3 linked regions of the Schizosaccharomyces pombe genome follow. The main gene of each other region encodes a partner of the protein of the gene in region 2 in a complex. Each region holds a gene or a part of one and is shown on either strand. Other genes may lie near its edges.

The links. The genes of interacting proteins can lie anywhere in the genome.
Region 1: sft1 (region 2) and gos1 share a complex: the UniProt entries of both Schizosaccharomyces pombe proteins name them as parts of the SNARE complex.
Region 3: sft1 (region 2) and bos1 share a complex: the UniProt entries of both Schizosaccharomyces pombe proteins name them as parts of the SNARE complex.

The regions. Positions count from the first base shown.
Region 1 is NC_003424.3:779,369-784,237, forward strand, and holds gos1 (SNARE protein Gos1), read left to right. Parts: upstream 1-1,992; 5' UTR 1,993-2,118; coding exon 2,119-2,667; 3' UTR 2,668-2,773; coding exon of another isoform or gene 2,774-2,968; 3' UTR 2,969-3,069; coding exon of another isoform or gene 3,070-3,336; 3' UTR 3,337-3,434; coding exon of another isoform or gene 3,435-3,776; 3' UTR 3,777-4,051; downstream 4,052-4,869. Other genes in the region: SPOM_SPAC4G8.09 (leucine--tRNA (Leu) ligase), read left to right, coding at 1-1,788; atp10 (F1-F0 ATPase assembly protein), read right to left, coding at 2,774-2,968, 3,070-3,336, 3,435-3,776. UniProt on the Schizosaccharomyces pombe protein: Nonessential SNARE involved in retrograde transport within the Golgi complex.
Region 2 is NC_003424.3:413,697-416,909, forward strand, and holds sft1 (SNARE protein Sft1), read right to left. Parts: upstream 1,144-3,213; 5' UTR 1,105-1,143; coding exon 988-1,104; intron 934-987; coding exon 775-933; 3' UTR 549-774; downstream 1-548. Other genes in the region: rod1 (arrestin/PY protein 1), read left to right, coding at 1-178; bun107 (WD repeat-containing protein), read left to right, coding at 1,710-1,989, 2,067-3,213. UniProt on the Schizosaccharomyces pombe protein: Vesicle SNARE required for retrograde transport within the Golgi complex.
Region 3 is NC_003424.3:1,923,277-1,927,357, forward strand, and holds bos1 (SNARE protein Bos1), read left to right. Parts: upstream 1-1,804; 5' UTR 1,805-1,825; coding exon 1,826-1,849; intron 1,850-1,890; exon of another isoform or gene 1,891-1,900; coding exon 1,901-1,997; exon of another isoform or gene 1,998-2,069; coding exon 2,070-2,656; 3' UTR 2,657-3,263; downstream 3,264-4,081. Other genes in the region: tos4 (transcription factor), read left to right, coding at 1-1,487; metallopeptidase Oma1, read left to right, coding at 3,463-4,081. UniProt on the Schizosaccharomyces pombe protein: SNARE required for targeting and fusion of ER-derived transport vesicles with the Golgi complex.

The sequences.
Region 1 (4,869 bases), 370 kb from region 2:
ATAGATGTTAGTTTTATAGCTCTTTCAAAAAACCATAAACTTGTTTTACTAGAATCCCAAAAGGATCCTTCGTTGGCAGAACATCTTCGCAATGAATCCTTACTAGACAAAGGATATCAGCTCCCGTGCTTTGCAAAAAATCCAGTAACTGGCAAAGCTTTACCAATATTTTATGCTCCTTACGTTTTGGACTGTTATGGTACTGGCGCCGTTATGGGCGCACCTATTCACGACCGCCGAGATTTTGAGTTTGCTAAGCGTAATAACATAATATTTTCTAAAGAAAGTTGTATAGGTTCATATTTTACAAATGAGGGAAAAGAACTTTTGAATCATCATGATTCTTCGAATTTAATGGATATCAAGCAAAAAATGCTTCAGCAAAAGATTGTCAGTTACCTTGAAGAGAAGAAATTAGCCAAACGTGTTAAAAATTATAGACTCAAAGATTGGCTTATATCAAGACAAAGATTTTGGGGTACTCCTATACCAATGGTTCACTGCGAAACCTGTGGTGCTGTCCCAGTCCCTGAATCTGAACTTCCTGTAAAGTTGCCTGATCTTGATAAAATATATGAAAAAGGTACTTCGCCGTTATCAAATCTAGAAACATGGATGAAAACAACCTGTCCGAAATGTCATGGCCCAGCAACAAGAGAAACTGATACTATGGACACATTTGTAGACTCATCATGGTATTATTTTCGTTTTTTGGATTCTAAAAACTCGGAGCTTCCTGTAGGTTTAGCAAGTGCGTCCTCTTTGATGCCTGTTGATATTTATATTGGTGGCGTTGAGCATTCAATACTTCATCTTCTATATTCCAGGTTTTTTTCAAAATTCATGAAGGATATTGGGTTATGGAATGGTGATAAATATTTAAATGAACCATTTACTCAACTAATTACTCAGGGGATGGTTCATGGTCTTACTTATACAACGATGTCGGATGAACGAATACTTAATCCAAAAGAAGTCCAGAAAATTGGAGACGAATATTTTCTAATCAGTAATCCTAAAGAGAAAGTTCAACTTTCTTACCAGAAAATGAGCAAAAGCAAGCATAACGGTGTAGATCCGATACGTACTATTCAAAAATATGGCTCAGACATTATTAGAGCTTACATAATATTTTCAGCTCCAGTGGAAGGCGTACTCCTTTGGAATGAAAATGCAATAATGGGAACAAAACGGTGGTTAACCAAAATATGGAATTGTGTTCATCAGTTATTGGAACGTGAGAAAAAAATGTCTGATGCGATGAGACAAACGAAGTTAACTATTGTCGACGATCACAATAGCAGGAAACTCGAATCACAATATAATGAATTTATTTCACAATGTTCTGCTCATTATGAAAATGTATTTTCTCTCAATTTAGTAATTTCTGACGCCATGAAATTGACTAATAATATAGCAGATGCTTTAAAAAATAACAAAGTCAATATCGGAACAATTAAAGCATCTTTGGAAGTGCTTGTGAAATGTATTGCTCCAATAATACCTTGTTTTTCAAGTGAGTGTTGGTTGCTGCTAGGACATAATTCTTCCGTTTACTCTAACTGGCCCATTTCCAAAAATAAAAAGGAGAATATGGAGGAGCCCGTTACTATTCCTGTCCAAATTAATGGTAAGGTGAGATTTAAGATTGAAATGCCCAAACTCAATGATGAAAATGAAATACTAAATTTTGTGCTTGAGACGAATGATGGGAAACGTTGGCTCTCTAATAAAAAAGTTTTAAAATCTTTTGTGAAACAAAAAATCATCAGTTTAGTCACCGACTGAAAGTTGGTTGAGACACGAGCTTCATGTTTCAAAATAATTTTGATATTTACCATAACAATGCAATGTTGGTTGCGTAGTTAATTTAATGCTTAAAATTCATTTTGAATGAAAAATATCCTATCTTAATATCACAATGTTTTCTAGTAGCATAGCTTTTCTATCACTGGTATATTTAGGAATCTCTACGTAGTGGGATACTTCTCTAAACTACATACTAGTAAGAACGTCATCTGAAAGCCACATTAATCAACAGAAGAGAAACGTTTGTTTTAAAATCATAACTTAAGCTACTAATTTTTCTCTTATAAAAATTTGAAGATCTCTTTAGCCATGAAGTCTATGCTTTTGAGAGATTCGGTGAAAAAAGCGTCTCAGTTCCAAAGATCGTTGCACAGTGATCCTAACCAAGCTAAAATTCTGCTAGAGGAAAGAAGGAAGCTTCTTGAAGAAGCCAACTCTTCAGCTGACGAAAATGACTCGCATTCAATGGCTACTATCAAATCACATTTTGAAAGACTAAAACGAGATGAGCAACTTCTTAATGGCGTTTTGAAAAAATATGATGCGAAACAGGAAGTTCTATCTCCTGAAGAATTACGAGATGCACAAAACTTTTTAGAAATGCAAGAGGCAAACTCTTTAGACAATTCTATTAGAGGCACTAATGAGCTTCTTGAAAGAGCTTATGCTACGAGGGAAGACTTTGATTACCAAAATAGCGTCTTAGGAAATGTGACCAATCGCATAAACGGGGCGGCCATGTCAATCCCTTTTATTAATCAAATATTAAGGAAAACCTCGATCCGTCGAAGACGTGATTCTATCATTTTAGCTTTACTCATATCTGTCTTGATGCTTTTGTTCCTTTTTTTTCATTAAGTTGCATGTTTTATGAAACGTTTATGAAGGGCATTGATCCCGCCAAAGTTATGAATATGTCATAAAGGTTTAATTAAGATGAAATAATATAAAAGTCCTTTTACTTTTAACCAACGTTTTTATTTACCAAAAACTTAATCGCTGTCTTCAGGTTTTCAATTTCGACATTAGTTGGATCACCGGTTCCAAGCCAGCGAATTTTGCAGGAATCGTCAATTAAATACACATTTCCAACAAGTTTGTTGTTCCATCCTATTTCTGGGAAACTGAACTTATTGTCGTATGCTGTAATATATTCATTCTGCTAGTTAGCAAAAGGTTATAAATTTTGGAAGTAAATAAATCTATCTTATCAAGCGAACAAACTTGTGAGCAGCTTGGACAAATAATGCGTCTACTTACCCAGCACTTTTCTGGTATTGATCTTTTAACTTTTCCTATAAATATCTTCTGTAGCCAATATTTTATTAGATTGGATTGAACATTTGCATAACGAACTGGCAGATAATCAAATGGAGCTAGATGTTGAATCCAATTCCTACATTGGTTTTCTCCAAACGCGTTGCTAAATAATGCAAAGAAAAAGGGCGAGCCTTGCCAATCTTTATATAGCTCTTTGTACTGATTTCGTAATGACTTCCCATGAAAGTTGTACATCCATAAGGCGCTCTAAAACGTGTCAATATTTTTAAGCAATAAACTAATTTTTTTTCATTCTTATTTGAAATTTCCAGAAATGAATATTACTTTTAACCAATTGTTCATACCTTCTCCTTAAATAATCTTGGAGGACTGTAAAACAGCTTACCATTAAATCGACGAACTTCGTTGAAATCTTGAATAGTTGATCTCTTCATTTCATTCAGCAGCTCCTTCTGTCTTTGCTCAGGAGAAGATGTACTCGCGGGTTTGGTAAGTTTTTCCCATAATGTTGGCTTTTGGACTTCAGAAAGCATCGTCGGTTTTACCAGTAAACCTACTGGAATGAGAGCAGATGGGGCTTTTTCTTTTGTATCATTGAGACTTTTGGTGCTAAAAGAACGCAACTTGAACTGATGCTTAACAATCAACCTCGGAATGACTAAATTTTTTAAATAATTATATGCCATGTTTACCAATTATAGGTAGATTAAAGGGGAAATAATCTTTAATTTATTATGCGATTTAAGAAACGCAAGGATGAACTTAATTATTATTATAAACTTCAATAGATAGGTATAGCAGAAAGGAGCTGTTGTTACAGGTGGAAGTACTCTGACGTTAAAAATTCATATCTTAATTTTCATTTTGGTTTTTTAATTTGTTTTTGGACATTAGTATATATCTACGATAAAGGTTTTCTCCTTTTAATTTCATTGTAATATAATTCAAGACTAAAATTGGCTTTTCATTGGATTGCGAATCTTTCATTGAATACTATCTTTTCAACTTACATTGAACGTGCATGTAAGGATAGGAAATGGAATGCTGAGATAATGAACAATACAAACCTTTCTAATTAATTCAATGTTTAAAGCAAACTCATTTAGCGAAAAATTCTAGCTTATTAAAACAGCTGTCAACCAGGGCGTAGAGATTACAATATAAAGACCTTACTTACCCTTCTTAATGTACTACAATACAAAATCATAGTTAAAAGAGTAGCTTTTTACGTCCCTGCCGACTGTTTATGTAGATGCATGAAAAACTATGAGAATATAATTTAGTAATCGTTTATATAAGCTAATACGCATTAATATTATATTAATTCATAATGCTTAAAAATCAAAGCAATTTCAATTTCCAAGTGGGTTAGAAAGTACTAATGGGGGGTCCATATTCTCTTTAAGACATTACTCACTTGAATAGCAATTATGACTTCGTCTACTACCTCAAGTACTATGTGGGGGGGTTGACCACTTATGAAAGTGAACCTACTAAAGTAGTTAGTGATACAAAAAAATAACTAAGTGCGCAATAATTCTCCGTCAACAAATAAATCGTTGAACTAGTATTAGTATATTGGCGTATGTAAGCTAATATAGTCGTTGTTTGCGTAAAACGAATTCAAATGGCTCCCAATCTGTGTTAATACGTTATGTTATGTATGATATAAGCACATTGAACATATCGGGATGAGTCAGTACTATTTTATTATTAACAAAATTGGTTAGAATTGAATATGACAAGTTGAAGACTCAATCAGCTAAGTTTTGTCATAGA
Region 2 (3,213 bases):
TATAAGCCCATCTCACAGTAGTGCTTCTTTAGCTCATCTTTCTCAAGCCTCCAATCCAAATGGATCGTCTTCTGCCCCGCATAGGCCCACATCAGCTCGTGTAGGAAGTCACCGAAACGCACTAGACGCTTTAAGACGGGCGCGTATGCTTCCATCTGGATTTTCAAGAAGAAATTGAAGTTTTGAGCACTATTTTTAAATTTTTGCGCAAACATCGGAAAAAGAGTATTCATTACCTGTACTTCCGTACATTTGAATGCTGTGTTCTTAAAAAAGCCTAAATCAATACAAACATCTCATGGTCTGCATGCACAAAGCTTGAACGTGAAGCTAAGGTGTTAAAATTTTTATTATTATTTATTTTTGTGCCCTTCCTTTTGATCTTTTTTTTTTTTTTTTTGCCGGTTGAAGGTGAATGAATACTTAGTTTGTGGCACAATGTCATGATTCTATTCAATTAGTACTGCGTCTCTTTGCTTAAAACTCTTTCCTAAAAGTGAGGAATATCAAGCTTAATATGGATATACAGTCATAATTAAATTTTTTATTATTTTTACTTTTATGGTGGACTTATTGAAATTTCGAGGAAGGAGTAGTATTTCGTTAAGAATATTTCATGTAATTCTGCGCTTATATTTTCAAATTTATCTTCAGAATATTCATCGATAAATTTATTGCCTATAAGAATTCAAAGCTTGTACATTTTATAATTTTGAAGCAGGAGGTTATGTCATTATATCCGTTCCTTTATGTAGCATTCGCTTTCATGTCGTGTTAAAAAAACCATTTGGATGCATAGTAGATTATTAGTATACTCCCTACGATTGCCAGCACCATTGTCATGATTCTTCGTCGTCCGGCACTTCGAACCACACGGAAGAAATTTTCGGTGGATTTTTTAACAGAATTTGAAAGTCCTGAAAAGCTTTCAGTCTATAATAATACAGGTTAGGTAAAAACTCAAATTTTTTTTTTTAAATTACATACAGCCCGATCAATTCGAGTATAGTCATTGGCACGGGAATAAATATCGTAGGTTACGTTTTTCAAAGAAGAAACCTGCCCAGACAGAGTTTCCAAACGCCGCTCATTTTGATCATTCATTATAGAAATAACTTTTACAAAAATGAATGTACATACGTTAGCATCTTTCTATATCACTTGGAGTACTACCAAAATTTAACGACATTTAGGACGTGGTGATAAATCCTTTAACGAATCTCCTAACTTGATTCTATTTTCGTCGAGCTCAAACATAATGTTATCTACAATTCTTAGCATCAGCCGCCTAATTATTGCTTTATCAAATGCCAATATCGATCGGACTACTTATTAGTAGGTAAATGGTTTGGAAGTTCATCGTTTCCATCCATTTTTAATGAGCAGTAGGATCCGTTCTTTAACATCTGAGTTATTTGAGGAATTGCTATTCATCGCTAAGTCAAAACATATAATATATTTGTATAGGTACTCGCTACCAAAATATTTGGATCCATTACTGTTTCCTGTTTCCAAGTAAAAGGGTTTATTTATCCGCTGCGTTTTAGACTCAGGACACACTATCTTTCTGCAATACTTTTGAACCTGAATTCATTCAATAAATTGAATTCGACATCATATAATATAAATTTTTATTTTTTACGTTTGAATTGGATTTTTTGTTTATAATTGCATTGTTTTAAGAGATTAATAATTCATTTATTGTTCTCATGAGTGTTCGGAAACGGTACAAGGTTACTTATGTTCTTGATTCCTGTAACGATCAACTAGGGCACCGTTTGGATGCTAATTGTCTAGTGCTAGGTCGGTACTTTTCAGAACAAGGGTCAGCACCAGTTACTAGAGCACTTTACAGTGGTGGCCGAGATGGACAGCTTTTCGGTTGGGACATCGGGTATGATTATGGTAAAGCTTCCCAGCCCTTAGCCAAAATCCAGGCTCATTCTGCTTGGGTAAATGATATAGCTTTAACACATGATTCCGAAGGAGGTAAGCCTTTGAAAAATTTAATTATCTCTGGAGAATAGCGGTAGCCTTATAGAAATTGACGTTCTAACATTTATTAGTGATATCTTGTTCTTCTGATTCAACGGTGAAACTCTGGAAGCCACATGTCTTGAATGCTTCTTGTTTATCAACAATTGGCGAGCATACCGACTACGTAAAGCGCGTAAGCATTCCCAAATATTCCAAGAGTCCGTTAGTCGCTTCGGGTGGGTTGGATAAAAGGATAATTGTATGGGACTACAACGTAGGTCAAGAAGTTATGCGATTTGAACAGTTACCTGACTGTTCTCTTGTTGTTGGTCCAAGATCTGGTGTTTACTCGCTGGCAGCGAATAACAACATAATTGCTAACGGCGGACTACAAAAAGACATTCAGTTATGGGATTGTGTTTCCAAGAAAAGGATTACAGATTTAGTCGGTCATACTGACAATGTTCGAGATATTCTAATTAGTGATGATGGCAGAACAATTCTCACAGCCTCTTCAGACGCTACAATAAAGCTTTGGTCTCTAAGGGCGCAAAAATGTTTATTCTCTTTCATAGCTCATTCAGACAGTGTATGGGCATTATATTCTGAGCACCCAGATTTAAAAGTATTTTATGCTGGTGATCGCTCAGGCTTGATTACTCGTACTGATATAAGAAACCAGCCTAACAACCAAAGCTGTACTGCAATATGCAAGCAGGATGCTCCTGTCTCTGACATTGTTGCTCGTCAATCTTTCATATGGAGTACTAGTCGTGATGGCTCCATTCTTCGTTGGAAGGATGAGCCCCTCTTTAATCAGGACGTGGGAGCAGCATTATCTAAGCATACCTCATCTCATCTTTCTGTATCATCGGACTGTCCCTCGAGACATTCTTCTGACATACGAAATCATAGCTGTCCAACATTATATCACGACGATGCTGAGGATATATATTATGATTTGCATCATACTGAGAGCTATTCTAACATCAATTTAACCAAAACCCCTGATTATGTTATTCATGGTGGTATTGGTTTGTTAAAATATCGAATGTTGGGTGATCGAAGGCATGTCTTAACTGAAGACGCTGTCGGCAATAAATGTTTGTGGGATATACTTGCTTGTAAGCAAGCCGGGGAATTTGATAAGTCAGAAGATTTTGAAAAGATTGTTCAAAGTTTGGATACTGTTCAAGCAATACCTAGGTGGGCTTCTGTTAATTGCCTTTTGGGGAT
Region 3 (4,081 bases), 1.5 Mb from region 2:
TTTCTCCAATGTCTTTTGTACGGATGCGTTCACATCGCGTTAATAAAATTGGCCGTTCTAGTCAACAATGTGACCATGTCCTATCCACGGTTGATAAAGCAATTTCTCGTGTACATGCTATTGTAACTTGTACACAAGACCGCATGATTATTGAGTGCGTGGGTTGGAATGGGATGATTGTGTCTGATAAAATGAGGAAGTCAGTATTCCACATGAAGAAAAATGATCGGATTGTCCTGGTAAGACCGAATTCGGATGCTTGTCCTGTACTGGATGTATTCGGTTACCGAGTTCTTCTTGGTTGGCCAAGTGATTCTGAAGATGAATGGGAAGGAAATCTTAATGCTAAAAATTATGAAGAAAATCGTGAACCTATGTCTCCTTCACCTCAAGAAGCTTTACCTTTGATGCCTTCATCACCTCCTTCTCAAGACTATCAAAACGATCAGAATCATCTCATATTGTACACTAATTCCGAATCCATTCCTAAGCTAAACTTGCGTAGTAACGAATTAGTATATCCTCCTCCATCCAAAGATTTGTTACAAAAGCTTCTTGCCTTAGAAAAAGATGGTCAGGTGGAAAAGTCTGATTGTTCCAAAAATACACAATTAAAACCATCTTTTCTCCCAAAGAACACCGACGATTTACTCAATGGCACTGATGATAATAACATCGTTTTAAGAGAAGTTAAGGTTTCTTTTGAGAACGAAAAAATCGAGAGTGATGATCTTGATAAAAATGAGGAAATTAGTGAAGGTGAAGAATACACTCCAATTGAAGAGTCAAAAGAGCCTATAACAGTAAGACGGGATAGCGTTATACAAATTGATGAATCGTCCGCTGGACTAACGGACGTTATCTCTGAACTTAATTTTACAAACCATAATGATGACTCAAAGAATTCTAATATTACAACTTCAAATGATTCCCCAGTGAACGAAGTTGAGCCAATGGCTCCTGAATTGAGTTCAGCAGTTGTGGAAAAGAAGGAACCTGAAGACTACGAAAGCATCTCTGCTGTTGATGAGAACACTAATGACAGTAATGAATCCCTCCCTTCTAGCCATGATTACTCAGAATCAACAAAAGAAAATTCAGCTCCCGATAGCTTATTATTAGGATTGGTTTTAGATGAATTGGTTTTCTCAACAACTTCAACTACTCCCCTTCCTGCACTTTCGCATTTATTTCCTTCCAATATGCCACTTCAATTAATTCAGGACAAGCTTCGAGACTTGGCAGCCAAGCACCCCTACTTTGAAGAGGTTAAACGTTACGGAACTGATGCTAATGGTGATCCATTGTGGAGTGAATGGTTTTATAACCCAGATGTGGATGATGATTTAGAACGGCGTATGAGATATGCTCCATTAATGAGACCAGTAAGATCCTCACGTCGTGTACATAAACAATATTATTGGAAAAAGCCCCGAGCTCGTCCACGTTCATCGGGACATTCTTCTAGGCGTCGTCGTCTTTCATAACGAATTGAATGCTGGCATCAGACACGACCCCTATAAAATTTCGCTTTTTGATATTGTATACATTTCGTTATTACGAATGGAATTATTAGATTTTTCAAATGGGGTTCAACAAAATACAATTGAACTCAATAGTGATTTACATTTAATATGAATTTTGGGTAAAAAAACGCATTCTTTTTTATAAAACTGTATTTACAATGTATAGAAATAAATTGCTACTTTAAGCTATTTACAATTTTGATATAGCATTCAAGTAACGTGTTACTTGCTACATGTGTTGTCATATCAAAGACAAGAAAATAAATTACCCTCATATTGGAACCAACTACGGCAAGAGAATGAGCAATACTCTTTATAATCACGTATGTAACTTCCTAAAGTTTTAGAAAACATATTAATTTGTATTTCGCTAGTGTACAAAGTTGTTTCAGTCCATTCAGCGAAGCCTCGATGAGTTAGAACGTGGTGTTCAAGATGAGAGCAACACTATATCGTTAGCTGGAATTCAGGGTATGTGTAGATGAATAATTATGGTACTTATTTTAACCAAGTTATTCATGAGACTAATGCAAATCAATTTAGGCCAGATCTCAGCTTCATTTCTGTCATTATCCAGATCCATTGATGACTACGATAGTATGGTCCAAAGGGAATTGGTTCCCGCTAAAAAAAAAAAAGCTACAATACGAATCCAAGAGTTCCGTCAAAAGCATGTTCAGTTGTTGGAAAAATTTGATGAGTTGAAGGCACACGTTCGTGACATTGCGCAAGCAAAAAATAGAAAAGAATTGTTAGGGAGGCGTGGGTATGTGAACTCTCTTGATAGTCCCTACGGAAATTCAACAACGGATGCAGAAATTGTGGAAGGGCCATCAGATCTAAGCAGACAAGATGGTTTATTAAAGGAGCATGATTTCCTTGGTCGTGCAGAATCTCAAGTTGACGAATTTCTAGAACGTGGGCGGATGATTCTTGGTGATTTAGTTGAGCAGGGAAGCGTTTTAAAAGCTACTAAGACAAAAGTACTGAATGCCGCCAATACCCTTGGCATTACTCGCCATACTCTATCTTTAATCAACCGTAGGTCCAAACAAGACAAGATTATATTTTATTGTGGAGCATTCCTTGTATTTGTCCTCTTTTACTTGATTTACAGGTGGTTACGCTAACATGTTCATGTCGTTGGCTTGTTTAAATTTACTATTCTTATATGATATGGGGCAGTACAACAAAATCAAAGATGATTAAAAAATTTGAAGAGCTTCTTGAGAGTTAAATTTTTTATTAATTATTTTTAAAAATAAGCTATACATTTTGCACTTGTTAGCTTCTCCTTGCAAGCTATTACTGTTGTGTTTTTTTCCTTCTGTTTATGACATTCCACTAATCACGCACTTATGGGCCTTTTAAATCTAATTCTTTCTTTGTGTTTTTTTAAATCCTTAGTTTGTCAATCAATTAATACCGTTGCGGTAATGCTTGACTAAAACACCTTCTCTTCAGGCGGTTGCTTTGAAATGCTTCAATTGTGATTCCATTTCATTTTATTTTAATATCCAAGAGAAAATTAACTTACCAATGGGCAATAGTTTTTTTTCCTTAGTTTCTTCGTAATTTGCTCAGTTAAGCTATGTATTAAAAATAATAAAATAGACTAAAACTAATTGTCATCACGAACCGTTAGTTGACGACTGTTTTACACTATTTTTATTGTCAACCGTTTTCAATGCAACTTAAGAATTTGTCGAAAGCCAATTGAAATTTGTATTCATATATATTAATTTTGTACCATATATATTGTAATAACTGTATTGGATGAAGTTAACTTTTACTAAAGAAACTCGAGACACGTTTGTTAAAATTAATATCGTTAGCGATTATCCTTTCGTATACCATAATACACCAAACTATCCTCCATTCTCATCTTTTTAAATATCTAGCGCCAATATTTAGTAATTCCTATAAGAATTATTTAATGTTTTTAAATAAGTATATATCAAACTATTCCAGAACCAGGGCTGTGAGCTGCGCTCCAGTTCTATCATACAAGAAATGTAGTTATCGAAATTTCAATGGTTTATTACAGGCAAGATTTCAAAGCAACAACTTGAGTTGGTCCAATAGAAACAGAGTGGTATATAAATCATTTCAGCCCAATCCTAGAGACAAGAGGTTTCAATGGATTTTTGGTGCTCTTATTGCAGGAGGAGGTGTATACTATTTTACACATTTGGAATACGTTCCTATAAGTAACCGTCGAAGGTTTAATGATGTTTCTTTAGATTTTGAAAAGCGAATGGCACAAGACGCCTACAAAGAAGTAATGTCTGAGTACGGAGACCGTATGTTACCAAGTTACCATCCTACTACCCTTTATGTTTCACGTGTCCTTAAAAGAATTATAGCTGTTTCTGGTATGTCTGATTTGAAATGGGAGTTACATGTAATTCGAGACCCCACACCTAATGCGTTCGTCTTACCCGGAGGGAAGGTCTTTGTATTCGAAGGTATTCTCCCAATGTGTAAAGGAGAAGATGGTCTAGCTGCTGTCCTTGCCCATGAAACTGCACATCAGGTAGCCCGACATTCTGCAG